2 linked regions of the Alligator mississippiensis genome follow. The protein of the gene in region 1 purifies or fractionates together with the protein of each later gene. This does not show direct contact. Links are inferred from orthologs where the notes say so. Each region holds a gene or a part of one and is shown on either strand. Other genes may lie near its edges.

Evidence for each region. Proteins that work in one complex are often made in the same cells at the same time.
Region 2: the proteins of ANKRD17 (region 1) and HOXB6 purify together in Homo sapiens (co-immunoprecipitation; 3 studies listed by BioGRID and IntAct, with this or other methods). This does not show direct contact. The link is inferred for Alligator mississippiensis from reciprocal best matches to the Homo sapiens genes ANKRD17 and HOXB6.

What each region holds. Positions count from the first base shown.
Region 1 is NC_081825.1:166,098,261-166,108,601, forward strand, and holds the start of ANKRD17 (ankyrin repeat domain-containing protein 17), read left to right. Parts: upstream 1-6,283; 5' UTR 6,284-6,381; coding exon 6,382-6,684; intron 6,685-10,341.
Region 2 is NC_081827.1:168,183,281-168,193,453, reverse strand, and holds HOXB6 (homeobox protein Hox-B6), read left to right. Parts: upstream 1-5,667; 5' UTR 5,668-6,027; coding exon 6,028-6,439; intron 6,440-7,907; coding exon 7,908-8,167; 3' UTR 8,168-8,169; exon of another isoform or gene 8,170-8,616; 3' UTR 8,617-8,773; downstream 8,774-10,173. UniProt on the Homo sapiens protein: Sequence-specific transcription factor which is part of a developmental regulatory system that provides cells with specific positional identities on the anterior-posterior axis.

The sequences.
Region 1 (10,341 bases):
ATTATGCAACTGTATGTGCAATTCAGTACCAAAATCTTAATTAAAAATTGTTACCCTCCTTTTCAATATTTGGGCAGTTACTTTATTTACTTAAAACGAAAATGTCACAGACTATAAGACAACCCCCCCTCCTCAATCATTAGGTTCTATATATGGAAAATTAATACATTTGTTGTAATTTTCCAGGTGCAGAATCTAGTTATCAGAGTTTTATCTTTAATTCATTCCCCTCCCACTACTACAGCAGGGAAAATAATAGCTGGGATGGTCCAGTAGCCCCCTTGCCCTCTGCCCCCCACCCCCCGCCCGCCCTGCATACGCACTTTTTCCCCATCACCTTCCTGCCACCGCTTACTGTCAGACCCTGCCCAGGCTCTTAGTCCCCCCCAAGCACAAGTGGAAGGGAGCTGCATGTGACAGTAAGGGGGGGAAGTGACAGAGAGGAGGACAGAAACTGCAGTGGGGAACAGGAGACTGCTGTGAGTCTGTCTCTGGCCCCAACAAGAATCAGAGCTACATTTCAACACACGTACTCCATAAACACATTGGTGAGCTTTGAACTAATCTGCACAAAACTGTTCAAAATTTGTGAATCAGTATGGGATGCAGACAAGAGCTGCAAAAGAGGGGTGTTGTTATTTTTTAGATAAAAAAATCAAGGTCTGGGTCAGGGAATAGGAGACTGTATTTCCAGTGGGGGGGTGCGGGGGTCATAGAGGAAAAAGCATGGGCAATTTGGAAGGGGGTGTTCAACAAAAGCATACAGAAGCAGCACTGGGACTTCAGTTGGCTGCTAGCACGTCTATTATACCAGTTTGGGCACTCTATACCAGTATATTTGGGGGCTGTGTAGAGCAGCCGAATGCCCTAGACAAACATGTAATTGGGAAGAAAGCATATGGCATGTGATGTAGGAATGTGAGTTTGCCAGAATGGTCTGGGGAAAGGCAGAGAAACTCCTACAGAGGCTGGATGCTCAGAGTCAACTCATGCTAGAAGTGATTCTATGCAGAGTGTGGGCTGTGGCTCAGAGGAAGGATGGAGGAATAGTATGGAAAACTGTAGTGAGCTTTTGCACAGCATTGTAAAAGGGAAGAAACTTACTAGTCTTGCAACAACTGGAACTCTTGGTAGAAGACACCTTGTATTTGGGCTTGAGTTAACTGGGATGCTATTGCTGGTAGGACAAAAGAGAGCTAGGTAAAGAGCAGGTGAGGGGTTTATGGAAAAGAGAAGAATAGAGATACCTAGTAGATCTAGGATGAAAAGATGATGAGGCCTTAGAGGTGGCTGAACTATAGCTGCAGGCCAGAAGTTGGCTAGGAAAGACATGATAGGGGCTAAGACAAGATAGATAGGGCACTTATACATGTGATGGGGGTTTAGTCTTCTATGCTCCCTAAATTGAAATGGTGGGTTGGAACCATTCTATATATGGTATAGAATCTATATCTTCTATATATATATATATATCTATCACCCATATATGGGTGATAGATGAGCTTGGAAGGTAACAGGGAATAATGTGGTATTAAGAAACAAAAGTGTCCATGTCCCTGGATTAATAGAAATTTGGGGAAGGAGAGAATCATTGTATAATGTATAAATGTTCTGTGGTTTTGGTCGATCTTATTTGTTGAAGTTTGTTTTAAGTTTCGATATGTTATTGTTTTGTTGGCCTGTGATTGATGTAGTTTTTTTTTGTAACACACTGCAAGCTGGTGGAAGCAGGTTTTTAAGTTTTTGATACTTTCATAATTAAAAAAAAAGAAAAGAAAAACGGTTCCCATCGTTGTGTTTGCCCAATGTGGGCCAGGTGTTTTATGGGTATGCTCAGCATGGGCTGCATTTAGCCAACTTTATAGTTGGTTTCCATGACTAAGCACATGCTGCTCCTAGCAGCAGTTTAATGCTAACCAATGTATTTAATGGCAGGGATGGGGTTTTCTGGGATGTGATCAGGAGATGAAGGAGTTTTTCCCCCATGCTGATTGGGGGAAAAAAACCTAATTTTCTATTTGATTAAATATGATAAAAATACTCTAAAAATAATTACAATATCTTTTGGGGAAATTAATTTTGGTTTATAAATTATAAAACAAGATTAGTGCACCATAACAAGTTTAATAATGTATCCAAATGTTCTCCTGTTTATTTCATTGACCTGTACTGAGAGTCATGTGCTTCTCTTTCAGCAGTTTGCTACCAGTGGCAGAAAAGACAGTTTGCAGGAGTTAGGAAGCCTCTCTAAAGACTACCCACATTTGTTTTATCACTGCTGAATTCTCAGGGTTTGGTAAAAGTGAGGCAGAGAGGGGAACAACAAAAGGAATTTAGTGTCAACCACCTCCACAGAGAAGGGAAATACAAGTAGCCAGCTCCACAGTAATGGATGAAACAAGAGTGGATCTTATTTATAAAGGCTTCCAGTACAGCGCTAGGGCTACAGATATCATCAAAGTGTCAGAACCTATCATAAGGAAGCTGGAGAAGTGGCCAAACTGGCAACTCCACTTTTACCATTAATGTTGGTACCTTTCACTTTTAGCTCTTACTGGAGCTTGATCAATATGAAAGGAATTATATGGCATGGTTGCTTGCAGGTACAGGGTGCTGGACTTGAGCCAGGAGGCCTTTTCCAGTTCTGTGTTCCTAACTGAACATTTCAGAAAAATATTTGTCAAAGCTAAGCATCAGAATTTGGCTGAATGCACATTCAAAGCTGATCTTAGTGGAACTTGAGAAGGCTTACTTCTACTTCTGTGTTAATCCTTGAGTCAATTGTGTCAATAGGCCACAGCTTGCTGGAAAGGGAAAGGAGTGTAGCTTTTCTCCTTGAGGACGCCTACAAGTGAAAAGCCTGCTATAAGCTCTATTTGAATCCCAATGGGCAATTTTGGCCCATGAACTTCAATGGACAATTTTTAGGTTTGCTCCACTAAGTCCCTTGCCAAGTAGAATTATTATGTTTGTTATCTAAAGTAGGGATGCTTAGCTTGTGAGTGGCTGGGCTCATGCCGTGCTGCCAGCACCCCCACCACTGGCCCTGCCATACAGATGCCCCCACTTCCTTGCTGCAGGCTCCCTAAGCCACATGGGCCATACTGCCCCACCTCCAGAGTTGGGGGCAGGAAGCTGAAGCCAGAGAAGGGAGGGGGAGCCTGGAGACCCCAGCAGAATCAACAGCTGGAGCTGAGGAGGGAAGTGATGCCTCTGTGGGAGCAGGTAGACTGTCATTTAACCCCTTGCAGGTTGCAGGTGGCCCATAAGCCATTATTTGGATAGCTCTAATCTAAAGGTTTCACTCAGGCACACCTTGTGTATGTTGATAATACTGTCCAGGTCACCTTTCTGGACTGATTGTCTTTTGAATGATAAACTTGTGTGTTTCAAAAGCAATCAATTTATGGAGTCAGCCTCAGGCTGTCAGACTGAGAAATTACTTATGTTTATGTACCATGCATATCTTCTGGTGGTGATTATTATAATAAAAATAATAATGCTTAGTTCACGTCTAGTACTATTAATCTGTAGATCTCAAAGTACTCAGCAAGAGAGGATGAGATCATTTTTCCCACAGATCTGCACTCAAGTATCCTAGAGAGTTGATTATGGTCTTTGTCATTCAAATCTGTTCATCTTAAACATTGCTGGTTTTGAGGCTATAGAACATTTAGTTTATTACTTTTGGGTCACACAAACTCTTGACAGTTTTGGTGGTACTTAATAATTTAGCTTATTGTTAATTTTTCAGATCTCATGCCTAAAAATTAAATCAAAAAGTCTAGTCTATTATAAATCAGAGAATAAGAATTAAAGCTACCTAATTGCCTACCTTTCATCACCCACCAATTTTAGGAATATTATTGTAACATTCTAATAGCGATGTAGTGGTTCAGGTACTTGTGCTCCTAGTATCCACCATTTATCACTGTGTGGGGTAGAGAAGGAATACGACTATTTGCGTTGGAACTTTTCATGCTTGCTTGCATCACAGATGATAATCTTTTGGAAAATGTGCTGGGATTGACCCCCTTTCCCCTGGGGAAGCTGGGGAGGGCCCAGGTTGGCAGCATGGATAAGCCTTCCAAGTCCAGGCTACACAAACGTGGTGGGAGGTGTAGGGGGCCCACCGCTTTGCCTGGGCCCCACTGGTAAGAAGGCCCCACTTGACCCCTGTGAGGGCCTGGTACTGCCCTCCCCGTCCCTGTGATAGCAGGATCAGAATCCTGGCACAGGAGAGCTCTGCAGCCCCAGCTCCATCCATAGACCCAGCACCTGCCCATGAGAATGAGGGGAAGCTGCAGCTCCGCAGTGCCCCGTAGAGGCTCAGCTGCTCCTGCCACCCCTTGCCTGCAGCTTCCCCTGTCATTGGCCAGGGCAGCACAGAGAGAACAGTGAGGACATAAGGGGTTGGAGCCAGTAAATGGTGTAAATGCAGTTGTGGTTTAACCACTTACATGCCTACTAAAAATGATTGCTGGCTACAATCAGATTGTCCTAATTTTTTTTAAGTATCTTCCCTGTTGCTGAGTGAAAGACCCATGGTAAAAAGAAAAAGAGCAAACTTACTAATGTCCCATTTATTTAATAATACATGAGTAAGCCCTCATTTATATCCATTATCAAAGACTTATGGTTAGTGCAGGAGCCCAATGGCATGTTTCTTGTTGAAGGATGAGTAGAGGCCTGTTTAGCTGTGCCTGTCTGAAGTCAGGCATAAGTCAGGGCAGGGTAGCACCTTTCAGACTGACTAGTTTGGAGAGGCATAAGCTTTCATAGGCAACAGCATCTGTTGCCTTGTGATAAAGTAGGCTGTCACCTACAAAAGCTCATGCCTTGCCTAACCAGTTAGTTTCCAAGGTGCCACCCTGCCCTACTTTCTCACTGAAGAATAGCTTAACTCTGCAGGGGAAATAGTGAAACTGCCTCTTGATGGTAGTGTATGCTGAAGTGGGGAGGTGCAGATTTTTTGGGGGGGGGGGGAAATGAGCTAATAATGTATCACATCTCTAATATAAATAATGTAACAAAAAGCACAACTGAAGGGGCATCTGTAACATTTTTTTTACATTTCTTAATTTCGAGTAAGAATGTGACACTGCAAACAGCATGGTCTCCCCAGGGATCTGTGTTGGGACTAGTGCCATTTAACATATTAATAAATGGTCTAGAAAAGGGGTGAATAGTGAGGTGGCCAAATTCGCAGATGAAACAACATTATTTCAAGCAGTAAAGACCAAGGCAGACTGTGAGGAACTACAAAAGAATCTAGCACTATTGAAGAAATGGGCAAGTATGTGGCAGATGAGATTCAATACAAGTTAAGTGCAAAGTGATGCAAAAATAACCCAGACTAAACTATGACGGGTTCTACATTAGCTATTACCACACAGGAAAGAGATCTGGACAGTTTGCTAAAAACAGCAGCGCAGTGTTCCACAGCCATCAAAAAGGCAAACAAAACGTTAGGAATTATTAAGAATAGGATTGTAAGAAAGCAGAAAGTCTCATTACATCACTTTATAAATGCATCTCGAATACTGTTTTGGCCCCTTCATCTCAAAAAGGATAGAGAAGTAGAGGTGCAGAGAGAGGCAGCAAGAATGACTAGTGGGATGGAGAAGCTTTCATGTAAGGGGAGTAAAGAGGCTGGGCCTATGCAGCTTAGAAGAGAGACACCTGAGGGGGGACACAATAGGGGTATTTTACAAAATAATGATGCTGAAGAGAAAGCCTCTGGATCAGAACTGCCTAGGCCTGAAGTGCTGGAGGCTGCACGTGGGAAAGCAACAGAGGAAAAACCCTGGCCGTACCCAGGTCACACTCCCTTTCAACATCCACACGCTGCCCTTGACACAGGGCAAGGTGGACCCAGGGTCAGCCCCGGGTGGGAGCCAGGTGCGGCGGGCGTCCTGCGCCCCGGGGCTGCCTGCAGGGTCCAGACGAGAACCGAGGGCAGCCCCAGGGCGGGGGCTCCGCGCCCAGGCTTCCCCAGGGGCAGCTAGAGCAGTCTCGCAGCACCCAGAGCCAGGGGCGGCCGCGCAACCGCGGCTTCCGTTTCCCAACAGGGCGAGGACAAAGCGAAGGACCCCCGCGCCACCCCACTTCAAACAGTGCTCCTGCCCGGGAGGATGAAGCTTGAGAAGCAGCACACGCTGGCTAAGGCTGATGACATCACACCGCTTCCGGCGCCGGCAGGCAGCGCGCAGGCGCGGAAGGTGTGTCCGGAGGACGCAGGGGGAGGGGCGGGGGCAGGCGGGAGCGGCGCCGGCGTTACCGGGCCCGTGACGGCGGCGCTGGCTACAAGTCTCGCGAGAGGCGGCGCCGGCGCTAGAGGTGACCGAGCGCGGCCGCAGCTGCCCTACGCGCACAGCAGCTATGGACCCGGCGGCCGGGGCCGGGGCGAGCGGGAGCCCCGCGGCCGGGCCGGGCCCCCCCGAGGCACGGCCCTCGCCGCCGCCGTCCTCCTCGGCTTCGCCCTCGCCCTGCCCGGCGGGGGCGCGCGGGCTGGCGCGCGTCTGTGACCTGCTGCTGAAAAAGAAGCCGCCCAAGGCGAAGCGCGGCCGCAGCTGCCGGCCGCCCAGCAGCAGCGAGAGCGGCGGCGGCGGCAGCGAAAGCAGCAATAACGGCAGCGACGACGAGGACGAGGACGACGACGAGGAGGACGAGGAGGTCTCCGAGGTATCGGGGTGGCAGGTGCCTGCGGGGGGCGGGCGGCGGCGCTCTGGGCCGGGCCGGGGCCCCGTGACCCCGCCGGCTTGGCCCGCGCTTCCCGCGTGGCGGCGCGGAGCGGGCGGCGGGGCCGGGGCAGGGGTAGGGGCAGCGTCTTCGGCGGGCGAAGGTCCCACGGTCGCTGCTCTGGGCAGAGAGAGGCCGCGGGCTCTTCTGGACCCGGCGCCGGGGCCGCAAAGGAAGGAGGCGCCGCCGAGCTCGGCATCCTCTCCGCGGGAGGCAGCGGCCGCCTGGGACACAGCCCGGCTCCGGCCACCCACGCGCCTTGGAGCCAGAGTCTTCGTGGCCTGGAGGCTGCCCTTGCCCGGCCTCAGGCCCCCCTCAGAACGCCAGCTCCCATTTCTCACCCGTTTTTTTCGAGCCGCTTGGTCTGTTGCCAAGTCCCCGGGGGCGTTTAATATCCTGCTGGTTCCTATTTGGCATCTCCAAGTTTACCTTGTGACTCGGGCTGTGTGCATCAGCAGGGTAACCTCAGTGTGGCAGTCCCGCAGCACCCGGGAAGGGATCAGGTATGCTGTGGCACCCGGGTTTGGCCCAGATGTCCTGGTCTAAAAATGCCAGCATGTTTCATGGGGAGAGTGTAAGAGCACTGTTGTTTCTCTGGTACTGTCTCATGGGAGAAAGGGTTGATCTCCTCTTGATTGTCTGTTTGTGTTTTGAAATATGTGAATTGATAGCTTTGTAGGTTAGTTCTTTGACATAAAGACCAATGAAGTTTTTGTCTGCTGAAATAAGTAGTTTTTTCTGAATGCAATTACATTTATCTTTCCTCGCGTATCCTGCAGCAGTGGAATCAATGAAGTAATTACATATAATGTCAGGTTTTATAATAGATTTAATATTTTTATTTATTTTAACCGTGTTTAAATTTAATATTGGGCCTTCTCTGGTAGGTAAATTAATACTGGAATGCCCATTTCCTATTTGGTTTTACATTCACTCATGGTTATTTTCCTAAGTAGCTTTGTGTCTTTTCTCTTACTAAATTTCATGCTTGCTTCTCCATCTTAAGGACCATTCTTAATATAAGTTACTTAGGTCTGTAAACTTTTATTTATTTATTTTTTTTTTTTGAAGGAATGAAACAGAGTTTATTATTAATAGCAGATAAGAGGCTTGCTTTATCCATATTTTGAGATCTCTTGATGATAAAGATGAGCTCAGAGTATTCACAACCCAAAGAATTTGAGGTCAGTGTGAAATTTAGTTTTACATGAAATACGTGTAGCCAGGCTTGGATGTATGTGCTTTAGCGGCTAAGACACGTTTTGCATAATATTTTTAAAGCAGCTGACAGACCCCTAAACAAGGCGTTTCATCAGGAGATGTCATTGTACTAAACATGTCATACATAATAGGTGTACTTTAAAGTTCTTGTTTGTTTGAGAGATGGTTGGGTTTATTAGTGTTTCTCATTTTAAGTATAGTGAATATCTTAAATGAGAGGAATCTTTCAAAACATGTAAATCTGTTAGTATGTTTACATGTATGGTGAGATGCAATACACACATTTGAAAACTAGAAAAAACTTTGGCTAAAAAACCAACTACTACCAAGAGAAGCCTACTAAAATAAGTGAGAGATGGATATCTCAGTTTAAAGTTGAATATCTTAAATAATGCTATCTGGTAGAGGTGCACTGATGCAGCAATTCAATATGGGATCGGCACTGATATAAAGAAAATCGACTGTATCAGAAATCGGCCTGATATGGCTGATAATTTGGCTGATAAATGGCCCATGCACGCATGCAGTCGTACCGCAGCATGTAGGTGGCGAGGAGCACAGCCTGGCAGCTTGGAGAGCTGCATCCAGCTGGTAAGTGTTGTGTTGGAAAGGGAGGGAAGGGGCCATGGGGGTGCTGATCAAGGCTTGGGGTGGGTGGCAGTGCTAGTAAGGGACTGAGGGGACTAGGGTGGATTTTCAGGTGGCCGCAGCCTCCCCCTCCTGTAGCCCCCTTGCAGTGCTGCCGCCTGTCCCGAGCTCAGCTTGGCCCAGCCCCTTGGAAGGAAGAGTCCCGCTCAGCACCAGCCCCAGCCTGCAAAGGCAGCCTGCCGCACCCCATCCCACCCCACCCTACCCCACACAGATCTGGGGGCAAATGCCCCTCCCCCGATGCCCTTTGGGGTGCACGCAGCGGTGGGAGGAGCCCCCTGGATGAGCTGCAGCTTCAGCCCATGCCTGCCCCAGCCCCACTCCCTCCCTCACTGCAGGGGGCCTTGATCTGCCCCCCTCTTCTTCCCTTCCCTTCCATCACAACAGACTTACCAGCTGGACTTGGCTCTTCGAGCTGCAGGCCTGCATATCAGAAGTCAGATTGGTATCGGCCAATATGCCTCCTTAAAATGGCTATCAGTATCAGCCCACAAATTCTCTGTTGGTGCACCCCTACTATTGGGGGCAAAAACCTTGCAGTATCTAGTGTGACACAGGCCCGTAGTTTGAGTATTGGTGATATGATATGCATTTATAGTCCCGTTCTCTTTATGATACCCCTTTCCAACCCCACCCCTTCTATATGCATGTACACACATTAAGAATTTACATTTTTTGTGGATGAAACCTTGTGTACATTAAAGAATAGCCTATAGTAAATACATTGTAGCTTCTGGTGAAAATATTCAAATGGGAAAAAATCATATCTACAGCTTGCAGAGTCTATATACAAGTTAGACTGTTAGAATACTCTTAATAGCTGGGAGAATAGAAACTAGTTATGAGACTGAAGAGTAGCTACACAACTGCTTAATCACATACAGTAAAAACCATTTTTCCCATAACTCGTGCTTTTATCTCATGATTTGAGGATATCTTCTTTTACACATTAATTAGAAAAATATTTATTATGACTTAAAGATGAATGCTAGATCTCATAATGGGGTGTGGTTTTGGGGTTTTGCCTTAAACGGATGAAAGCACAAAAAAGAATGGTAGATGGAGAACAGGTGAGGGTGAGGTGAAAAGATGCTGTTTTGGGGTTTGGGAGGGGGTTAGAACAAAGGGCAACCTCCCTCACCCCTCCTTCACCTCCACCACCCAGAAATAATTCCTGTTTGGGGAGAAGAGCAGGGTAGAGTTATTGGGACAAAGTAATGATTAATGGCATCTGCTCATCAGTGAGTGATGATAGATATTGCAGCTATTCTACTGACTCATGGTACATTTTCTCTTTGCAGTTGTAGAGACTGATGTTAGACTTTCAGGTCCTGCTACAGTTGTCACAGGTGTAAGTAGCAAAGATGGAGTATCTTCTCCATTCAGTTTTGGCTGCAGTGGCGTGGGCAGTTGAGATAGATATATGGGCAACTGAAGCGCCTCTTTGTCCCCTTCTCAGCCTAGCTGGTTGATCCCAAAGGACAGGCAGAAGCCAGTACATTTGGAGTCAGCTTGGCTGCAGGAGTTGCCGGTATGAAGATCTTCAAGCTGCTCACCTTTCGGGGCTCCGCTCCTAGACTGTTTGCCAACCAACACTGGGGAGCTCAGTCTACCCTACCATGGCTTCTGCCTTTTGGTGGCATTTCCTCCACTACTGGTAAGGACTAATACCCCCTTTGACATTGCTCCTCTGCCTGAAGCCATTGGCACCATAGAGGCTGCTAGGTTATT
Region 2 (10,173 bases), on another chromosome or scaffold:
ATGACGTTGTAATGAAATTAAACGGGTTTGCATTGAATCGCGTGCTGAAGGGCTTCTAATACCTGTCTACGGATTATTATTTAAAACCACCTTCCCATCTTCCTTTTTCCCAAACTGGCCACCGGATTATGAGAAATTATGTCTCTTCGGTTCCTTCCAGTTGCATATCTTCTCAGCCACCCGAAAGACTTGCTTTGGTTTTAAGAAAATAGTAGTCCAGAAATGCACGTCATTTCGAAGGGGGCTATCTTTTCCTCCCACCGCCTTCTAGATCTCAGCACTTAAAAAAATAGGCACGCTGCTCTGGTTCCCTGGTGCTTTGTAAATAACCTGGTGTCTGAGGCTTGTGCATGTAAAAAGAGATTGATTCAAGAACAAACATCTCCATTAGTTAACCATTAAAATTTTTATAACAGGATGATCTATATCGGCTCGCTTGACTCTCCCTATTTTGTGGTCCAGAGTAAATTATAGCCAGGGTGGAAATAATAAACAGAGATTAATTTCTAAAAGATATTTCTTGCTGGGGCTGTTATACTGTCATATATAACAGAGCATTTAATGCTGGTTTGAAGTTCCTTTCCTTTTTTTTTCCCCTTTCTTGGAAGTCTATTGGTGTTTGGAAGATCTGTGGCTGTTCTTGAAAGGGGGTGTGTGCGCGGAAATGATGCTGTTCTTCATTTCAGTGTCCCCATTCCTAAATGTATTTGTGTTGATGCTATAAGATCTCCTGTGCCAAACCACTTGTAGAACCCAAAAGATAAATGTCATAGCAAGTAAGTCTTTTTAATCACTTTAACCCGGGCACCATTTAATGTTTGATTGTCTAGGAAATCTAAATGTTTTCGCGAGAACATAGATAAGTTGCTAATTAAGGAATTCCTATATTTTAAACATCACCTAGTTGTTTATTTTTCAAAACGGAAAGGTCTATTTCTCTTTATGTCTCGCCCCATTATATATTGCTCTCCGGCTTACTCAGCTCCATTCCATACTATCTGCTGCCATCTACCGTCTGATGCCAGAAAACTTCAGAGGATTTAAAGGGTTTGCGGTGATTAATATCCCCTGAAACTCGTGCACAAGTCTAGGATTTCGGTTTTCCGCTTTTATTTTTCAAGTCACTGATTATTCTTGGGTTGCACGGTTGTGTGTGTCGTGGACAAGGAGCAAAAGGGGCAGGGGAGGGGAACTGTCATTCATCCATGAACCAGATCTCAAAGACATTTCCACGCTGAGGCCTGCTGCAATGGTGTGAATTTTAAGATATATATGTATCTGATTATGTACACATAAATCTGGAGGGAGTGCTATCTGCCTGCCTGCCTACCTGTCTGTCTGTCTGTCTGTCTGTCCAAGTCCCATAGAACTACATGGACTACAAGAAAAAAGCAAGCTGGTTGTTTCCTAAGAGTGAATCGGTCCAGGAGTCTTGTAAAATGCAATAAGTAATTACGTGAGATGAAAATTTAAGGCAGTTAATCATAACACGAAGGAATCTTTATTTACGGCTCGGAGTGATCATTTTGGAGGGGTCTGGAGAAGATATGTCAATTCGTGTACACAACGGCGAGGCGGTTGCTGGGATGGGGAGCAGAGAGGAAAGGCAGACGACGACTCCCTTTTAAGTTACAGTAGCTTAAAGGGACAATGCAAGTCTGTTATTTTTAAAAGGTTTCTCTCTCTCTCTCGTTTTCTTCTACTACCCCACAGTTTCCTGGCAACTGTTTACGTCTAGACCAATGACATTCTCCTATAAGAAAGTGAGATGCCGAGAGACTATGCTAAAAAAAAAGTTTCTGCTTTTGGCTAGCAACAGCCGTGATTAACTTGTTCCATTTTGTAACTCCTAACACCCCATCGCCTTCTCCATTCAACCTGCATGCTCCGGGCTTTGATATTTCCCTCTCCCTCTCTGATTGCTTATTTTCAGTTCTCCTAGCCAGATTACTTTCCTTTAGCGGAAATAAGGTAATATAGATACATTTTTACTACCCCAATCTCCTGCCCCCAACCCCTTTCTCGTTTTTTGTTTTTGGTTTTTTTGTTGTTTTTTTTTGTTAATTATTAGCTGCACTCTTTAATGGAACAATGGTAGATTAATATTGCTCCTTTTCAAAGATCCCATTAAAAAGGTTATTATGCACTGCACGGGAAGTCAGGTAAATTAAACTTAAATTGCTGGAAATTAAGTTTCAAATGGTTATGTGCTGATGGAGAAAGAATATTTTTTTACACCTTGAGGGGTCATTGTTTGAAATGTGCCAACATTGTGGCGGCAAACATGACTTATGCCGTGTTTCTAATACCAATTTGAGTGGCTATTTATATTGCAGACGATCTTCTCCACTGATAATAGCTTTATATGCCTAAATACAGTAAAGAGGCTTTTCAAGTGTTTTCTTAGTGTTCGTTGGACTTTATGACTGCAATAAGTCTCTTGATTGGGAAGATCCCGCCGCGATTTCACTTCAGAAGCCTAGCGAATTGCAACCCCACATTTAAAGCCCTTTTTTTTTGGAACCAACTGCACTTAACTTTCCACTAAGTTCTGAACTGGTTTAGCTTTTCCGCCAGCAGGGCTCTGATCTGTTTGGCTTTGGAAATATTTCGGGGTTGTTTTAATCCCCTAATTTATCTGTGGAGTTGGAGAGCAGGAGTGAGAAATGTGTGACCAAAAAAAAAAAAAAATACAACCTTCTCCCAACCCGAATGTACATATTGTAAATACGTCTCTTTTTTCTTTATTTATACCCTGCCAACAGAATTATGTCAATCAGCAGGAAATGGGGAGGGGGGGAAGGATTCTCTTTTAAATTAAACATTTTTCTCCCTCCTCCTGCTGTCTAGCCACTACACCACTTAACGGCTTGCTTTTTAATAAACCCTGGGATTATTTTGTAAGCAAATGCGGCCCAGAAATCAATGGGACTATCCTAAGAAATATGGTTGGAAACCACATAGTTCAGGGCATAGACACTGCAAGCTGTATCAGCGCCTGAGAGGTTTAGATTTGTCGCTACTCATGCCTGGCTGCCTTTAAAGACATAAAGAGACCAAACCTTTTCACCCTCCCTCCCCCAATGATTTACCTTCAAAATTTAGCCAGTAACCCAAGACAGGGAAAGGGTGGAGGTGTTGGGATGGAGGGAGTGGGGATTTAGGATAACTTTTTAAAAATAGCTATTAACATAATAGCAGTGATCAGTTTTCTGTCAGGCACACAACTCCCTGTCATCGGATGCGTTTCTGAGTATCTGCTGCAAACAAGCAGCTTGTAACTGGTAAACAAATGCTATTGTCCTTCTCAATCTAATGACGAGGAACACTTGAAGAACCATATTTCCCCCCCCCAAAGCGGAGCCAAAGATCAATACGTTTTCACCCAATTTTCTCCCCTTTATCGTTCCCCCCATAAATATCTCTAGACTTAAGTGGAGCCACCTTTGCAAACCCAGAGGGCTCCAGCCTCATTCCCAGACAGTCTCAACCACCAGCAATAAGCAATTAGCGAGAGGCCAGTTGCAGTTAGTGGATTTTATTTTTGTTCCTGCCAATAAAAATAAAAAGGTCAAAGTGACCACAGTCCAACGCTGCGAAAAGTCAGGCTTCGCCAACACCGCTCTGGAAGGAGCTGTATTTCTTATAAGCGCAGCATCCCCGCGTTTTGGGAAAACACATTTTTTCCACTTATTTCCAGGGGCTATTACTTTCCACAACAAGAATCCTCACTCAGAAAGCATTACAGGGGAAAAAAAAAAAAAAAACCTAGGGTTTTTGTTGCATGAACACAAATGTGTCTGTTACTCACTCGTTTCATTATATCAGGCATTCAAACTTCTCACCCAAAATCTGCATGCGGTGCGAGTCATCGTAGGTTTTCTCGGGTTTTTTTTTTTTTTTACTCTTACACAAATATTGCGCAACTTTCTAATCAAATGTCTGAGCTCTTTGGCTCCTGCGAAGCAGCCAACTTCAGGCTGCTTAATGTATTCCTCTCACTCTCTTTCTCTCTTCCCCTCCTCTCACCCCCCCCCTTCAATAGACAGTCAACTTTCTCTTTTAATCCCATATTCCCCCTCTTTTTCATGCCAATAAAGCAGACCTACGTAGGTTTGGGTCCACTCCATACACAAAGGAAAACTCTGCAAGAACAAATATAATAGCTACCAGTCAGAAAAGGGGAGGGCGAACAACTACTTCCTTTACATGTTATTTCCTTGAATTATAAGGATTACGGTCAGTCGACGGCTAGTTGCAGCGGTGGCATGAAACAATCTTGGCTTTGCTGCTGTAAACACGATGTTTAAAATAAATTAGCTCGTAATAAGATACCAGTTTCAGACGTACTTAACCCCCGTCAGGGAGAGTTCTGCAGTGACCATGTAATTATGTGTAATTCTAGAGTAGTAGCAGACCCAATCAAGACTATGGGAGTCTATATTAGAAGTCGAGTTAATTTCTTTGCATAGAAGAGAAGAGAAGAGAAGAGAAGAGAAGAGAAGAGAAGAGAAGAGAAGAGAAGAGAATAGAGAGAAGGAAGGAAGGAGTTTCTGTAACTCAAACCGATCAATGTTTCATTTAATTGTTTAGTGAGTTTCTGTAGAGCAGGGTTACATTTCCACAGCCCCAGAGGTAGGGCAACATATTAAAATCCACATATACCTCAAGTGTACAGAAATCTGAAGAGCAGTGCAATAGCCACTGCGAACCCCACCTACTGCTAATGAATAAAAGCGAACCTTAGAGCCACGGATCCCAGAGCCCGCTCCGCTCAGGGGGTCTTTCCCCCCACTTTCAGAATGACAGCGACTTTCGCTTGCCTTCTGTAAGACACTTCACTTGATTCCTCATTACCGTCCATGAAGAGAAGTTCCAGTCGTGGGGACCGACCTCGATGGAAAGCATGATCAAAGATAAAAGCGGGATCGTGCCTCACTTTACAGTCAATAGACCCACCAAACAAGAGCGTCCCCTGCTTTAAAAAAAAAAAAAAATCTCCATCGGTGACAATCAATAAAGGACAGCTCTTGACCGTAACCCAGCGCAGCCTTTAACTAGGAAGGGCCGGGCACGGATTTGGTATTAAGCCTAAAACGCAAGAGGGCACAATTCGGTGCACAGATCTGGAGCTAGCGGACTATTTAGCCCGGGATAATCGGGCTACTTCGATTCCCATTCATCTCCCAGCCTGGCAACTCTGGTACAGAATAAATGAAAAGCGGAGAATTTGAGGAGGCGGGCGCGTGCTACTTTCAAAGGAAACACGCTCTCTGCCAATCTATGCTAATTAGATAAATATGAAAAATAAATGACCAAAATTAACTCCCCCCAGCACACACCGGCGCCCGCCAAACCTCCCACCCTAACCCTAAGCGAAGGAAACAGATGAGATCCACTCCCCGCAGGCATTCATTACACACATAAAGAAATAAAAGTTTCTTTACAAATCCCAGAAATGTCCCCCGATCTGTTATAGATCATTGGCAGGCGCCAGGGGTTAAACTTTGTCAGAACAGAGAGGATTAACTTTCTTTTTCCCGCCCAGACAGGATATTTACATATATATCTATATTGCTCTCTGCGTGTGTGGGGGTGTGTGTGTGTGGGAGGGTGTGTGGCTTATATACATATTAGCTTCTATATATATATATAGTATACATACATATATATGTATGTGTGTATTAAAGCGCCAGCCGTTCCGGGATTTATTTTTTGCGGATATGTGTTTGGTTAAGGGGGTGCATTTCTGTTGTTTAAAAGGGAGGAAAAAAAAGGGGCCGGCTGGTTTGTTCTGGGGTCCCTCGTGGAATCCAAGCCCCTCATGGGTGCTATTTTGCAATCTCAGGCTCCTGCTATTGGTCAGTCCATGATCAGATGGTTCTATTTCCTTGTGTCCCTTCACTGGCACCCAGCCATCCCCCTTCAGCTAAAACCCAATCTCCGATATACTACTAATAGCTAAACCACTTGGACTATAAAACACAACAAATCATAACGCCAGGGAAGGACGGCTGCCTCCTCCCAATGAGTTCTTATTTTGTCAACTCTACCTTCCCGGTGAGCCTGGCCGCTGGGCAGGAGCCCTTCTTGGGACAGATCCCGTTATATTCCTCAGGATATGCGGATCCTTTAAGACACTACCCCGCTACCTATGGAGCTACTGGAGTCCAGGAGAAGGGCTATCCCTCCTCTTCTTATTACCAGCAAGCTAACGGAGCTTACAGCCGGACCACAGCCTGTGACTATGGGACAGCTGGTTTTTACAGGGAGAAGGACCCTGCCTGTGCCATCTCCAGCCTGGAGGACCAGGGGCAGTTTGGCCAGGATCAGCGGAAGTCAGACTGCGCTCAGAGCAAAAATGTGTTCGGGGAGAGTGAGGAACAGAAGTGCTCCACGCCCGTCTACCCCTGGATGCAGAGGATGAACTCCTGCAACAGTGAGTTACTCTTCTCTCTCTCTCTCTTTTTAATTTCTCCTCCCCCTTTTCATATTTGCACGCACACACACACACGCACACACACGCACAGAATCAGGAAAACCTGAACAGGACACTAACTTCCAGCGGACCAGGCAAGCAACACGCGAGACTCAATAAAGTTGCTCGTGACACACACACACACACACACACACACACACACACAAACTTTATGCTGCCCGAGTCTTTATCCCCCCTACCCCCCTTTCTCTTCTCTCTTCCTTTCCCCCAACTCTTTCACTAGATCTTTAACCAGAAATAAAATGCCCAACTTTGGGCCGTATCTAGCCATGCCTGGTTCCCCCCCCCGCACCCCCCCTTTTTTTGCGCTCCAGTTTTTATGTCACTCCGTTAAAAGGATTTCTTTCTCTCTCTCTCTCGGTGTTGAGAGAGAGAGAGTGAGGGAAAGATCTCTTCACAATCAAATCCGGATGACTTTACACGCGCACGCACACACACACACACACACACACACACACACACGAGCGCGCGCGCGCGCGCACGCAAGCACGCGCACACATACACACACATCTATCTTGCTAGCTAGCCGGGAGGGGGTTCAGTAATATAAAAGTGTTTAAATATTTGAAAAGAGAGGACTACATTTTTAATGCAACTCACACATAATAAAAAGTCTGCCTGAGGAGGAATTCTTCCCTGTGATGTATGGCTTGTTTAAGTGCCATCTCTTCCATCAAAAAAGTAAATACAGAAATAAATAAATAAATGCACACATATGTACGGGGCACTCGCCCCCACACCCTGCACCATCGCTCCCCTACTCCCCCTTCACCGTGTTTAGATGCATTATTTCTTGCCTTTTAAGTTCCAAATTGATGTCCATTAGTGCAGGGACATAAAGTGTTGTATCCTCTTTAATGCACAGAGTTTGCCTAGATCGATACACTTCATTATTGCTTAAATGCTCAGCTCTATTACTGTTGCCTGTAAGGTGGAAAAATAGAAGTGGTAGGGCTCGGGGGGTGTTTGGGGGTGGAGGGGCACCTTGCGATTTTCCATAATGCAATAAGCGACAGTAGCAATCTCCTCGGAGCAGCGCACTGGAATATCAGGCAACTTCTGCATTAACCCTTCAGGGGTTGTGTTTGCCTCAGAGCAGAGCAGCAGGGAGAGCTTTGCCGCAACGCAAAGGGCTCTTTCCCAGGCCAGCTAGTCACTCTGGAGCCTTTGCTTTGCAAAGGGGCATTCTCATGTCGCCGGAGCATTTCTTTCCCCTCTCGTTAGAAGGAGAGGGAGAGCAGAGGAAGTCCAAAGCACCCGCACCCCTTTCCCTGCCCATACCCCTTAGCTGAGGGCTAAGCGGCCAGATCCCTGGCATTGTTATGCATATCTCCCACTCCAATAAACGCCTGTGTTTTCTTCCCCCCACCCCCCCACCCAAACCCCCCAACCTTTCCCTGTGTAACAGGTTCATCCTTCGGGCCCAGCGGCAGGAGAGGCCGGCAGACCTACACCCGCTACCAGACCCTGGAGCTGGAGAAGGAGTTTCACTTCAACCGCTACTTGACCAGGCGCCGCCGGATCGAAATCGCACACGCACTTTGCCTGACAGAACGACAGATCAAAATCTGGTTCCAGAACCGGAGGATGAAATGGAAAAAAGAGAACAAACTGCTCAACTCTTCGCAGCTGAGCGCGGAGGAGGAGGAGGAGAAAGCGACGGAGTGAAAGTATTATTTAAAAAGAAAAAAAAAGGAGGGAGGGAGAGAGAAAGAAAGAGAGAAGATCAGGGAAGGTGGAGGGGACAGAGCTGAACTGTAAAATAGCGGAGACAGTTGGAAGATTCTGAGCCCTGGGACTCCTGTTTCAATAATCTGTCACAATGAGGCTTCTTAGCTGAGTTTTTCCCCCCTTCCTTTCTATTCCTCCTTCCAAAAAAAAAAAAAAGACTCTTACCTGTGTTTCTCCCCTTTGGTGTCCCTGTTAGTAACTGCTAACTCTTGTATTTAATGGAGGTGATGCAATATATGTCATTTTTGGTGTTTATTGTCTTAATTTTGTAAAAATGTTTCATGCACGATTGACTTACAGATTTTTTTTCTGTTTTTTTTTTCTTTTGGTAAATTAATCAAGCCCTGGGGTCTTTGTAATTAGTTTCTTTCTTTTTTTTTTAAAAGAGAGAAAACCCTACTGAAGGAACGAGTACTACCTAAAAGAATGCAAAAGCAACAACAAAAAAAGTTCTATTTTATTAATTTTTTGTACGTGTTGTGTTTGTAGCTTGTCTTAGGTATGTACATGGAATATTCTAATAAAAACAAATATTCGATCTCATGCCCCACCACCTTGGTATTATTTTCTCTCCCTCTTTCTATGGAAATATGCCAGCCCTGGGAGTCTCCGGGCTGGGAAGCAAAAGCAATGCAGTTCGCTGTGTGTGACACTGGCTTCTAATCTGCAAGGACAGGCAACTCTAAGCACACGGAAGTTACAGTTGGGAGATAAATCTGGTTTTCCCCGTTTTTGTCTAATCTTAAATGAAAGACCTTTCACCGACATTATCTCCTCGCTGACATTCTGCTTCAATATCGCTCTTTTTTATTGTTACAGTACAAAGAGTTATGACGAAAAGCTCTCCATATACATAATAAATCAAGGAAACAGGCAAAAATTATGCTCTCATCTACCCACCAAAGATACCTAACATTTGTCTAGCATATTTCAAACATCTGTTCCCTTATTTCATTTTCCAAAATCAGAGAGAGAGAGAGGTCGGGCTGATTTCAGGGTTTGGGGTTGTTTTTATTTTTAGTGTTTGATTTCCACCCCACCACCCAGTTGAATCCAATACCTTCTAACTTTTTCCCTACCAGATTATGGGAATTCTTTAAGCAAAACATAAAGACAGAGCCAGCTAAAGCTAGCTTGAGCCTTTGAAATAGGAATTCTTTTGCTGAGAGTCTTACAACTGGCTCTTTTTAAAGTACCGACTCGCCTTGAATGGGACGGGGCAGGTTTATGATCTGTACTAAGAAGCCTAGGGGCAAATTATATCAGCCTGAAGGAAAATTCTCTTTGATTTTTTTTTTTTTTTGGATTAAACGAAAGGAAGTGGGCTTTTTCTTCTCTGATCGGCAGATTAAAGGCAGAAGCTTTGCTCAGCTCCATTCTGATAATATTTGCTAGCCCTTCGCGGGAGAATATATATATTCTTTATATACATATATTCTTTATATATATATATAAAGAATAACTTTACCTCATCTCCTATCCCTGCCTCCACACCGAAATCTACCTAGGTGCGAATGCACTCCCTCCTGTCACGAGCTGTTTTAATGTCAGTCACTTTTAAAATCAATTCATGCAGAAGCTCCACAGCTGTAGGACATTTACTATTATTGCTACTCTTTTCATTGCCCGTAATTATTATAATTATATGTCACTTTCAATATGGCGCATAATTTCCAATGAGTTGCAGACAAGCATATGAAATTCCTAAAGTGCCTTGGAAGAAGAAGAAGAAGAAGAAGAAGAAGAAGAAGAAGAAACGATTTAGCAACGCTGCACAAAGCAGGCTTCTTCCCCAACGTTGGTTAAATGTCAAGGTTGCCTTGCTCCCAAATATTTCTTGCAGTTTTGCAGTGATAGAAAAGAAACAAACAAACAACACAGCACAATGCTTTATTTAAAGAGGAAGGAAAAGGCATGCAGGAGCGAGACTCTCTCAAATGCAG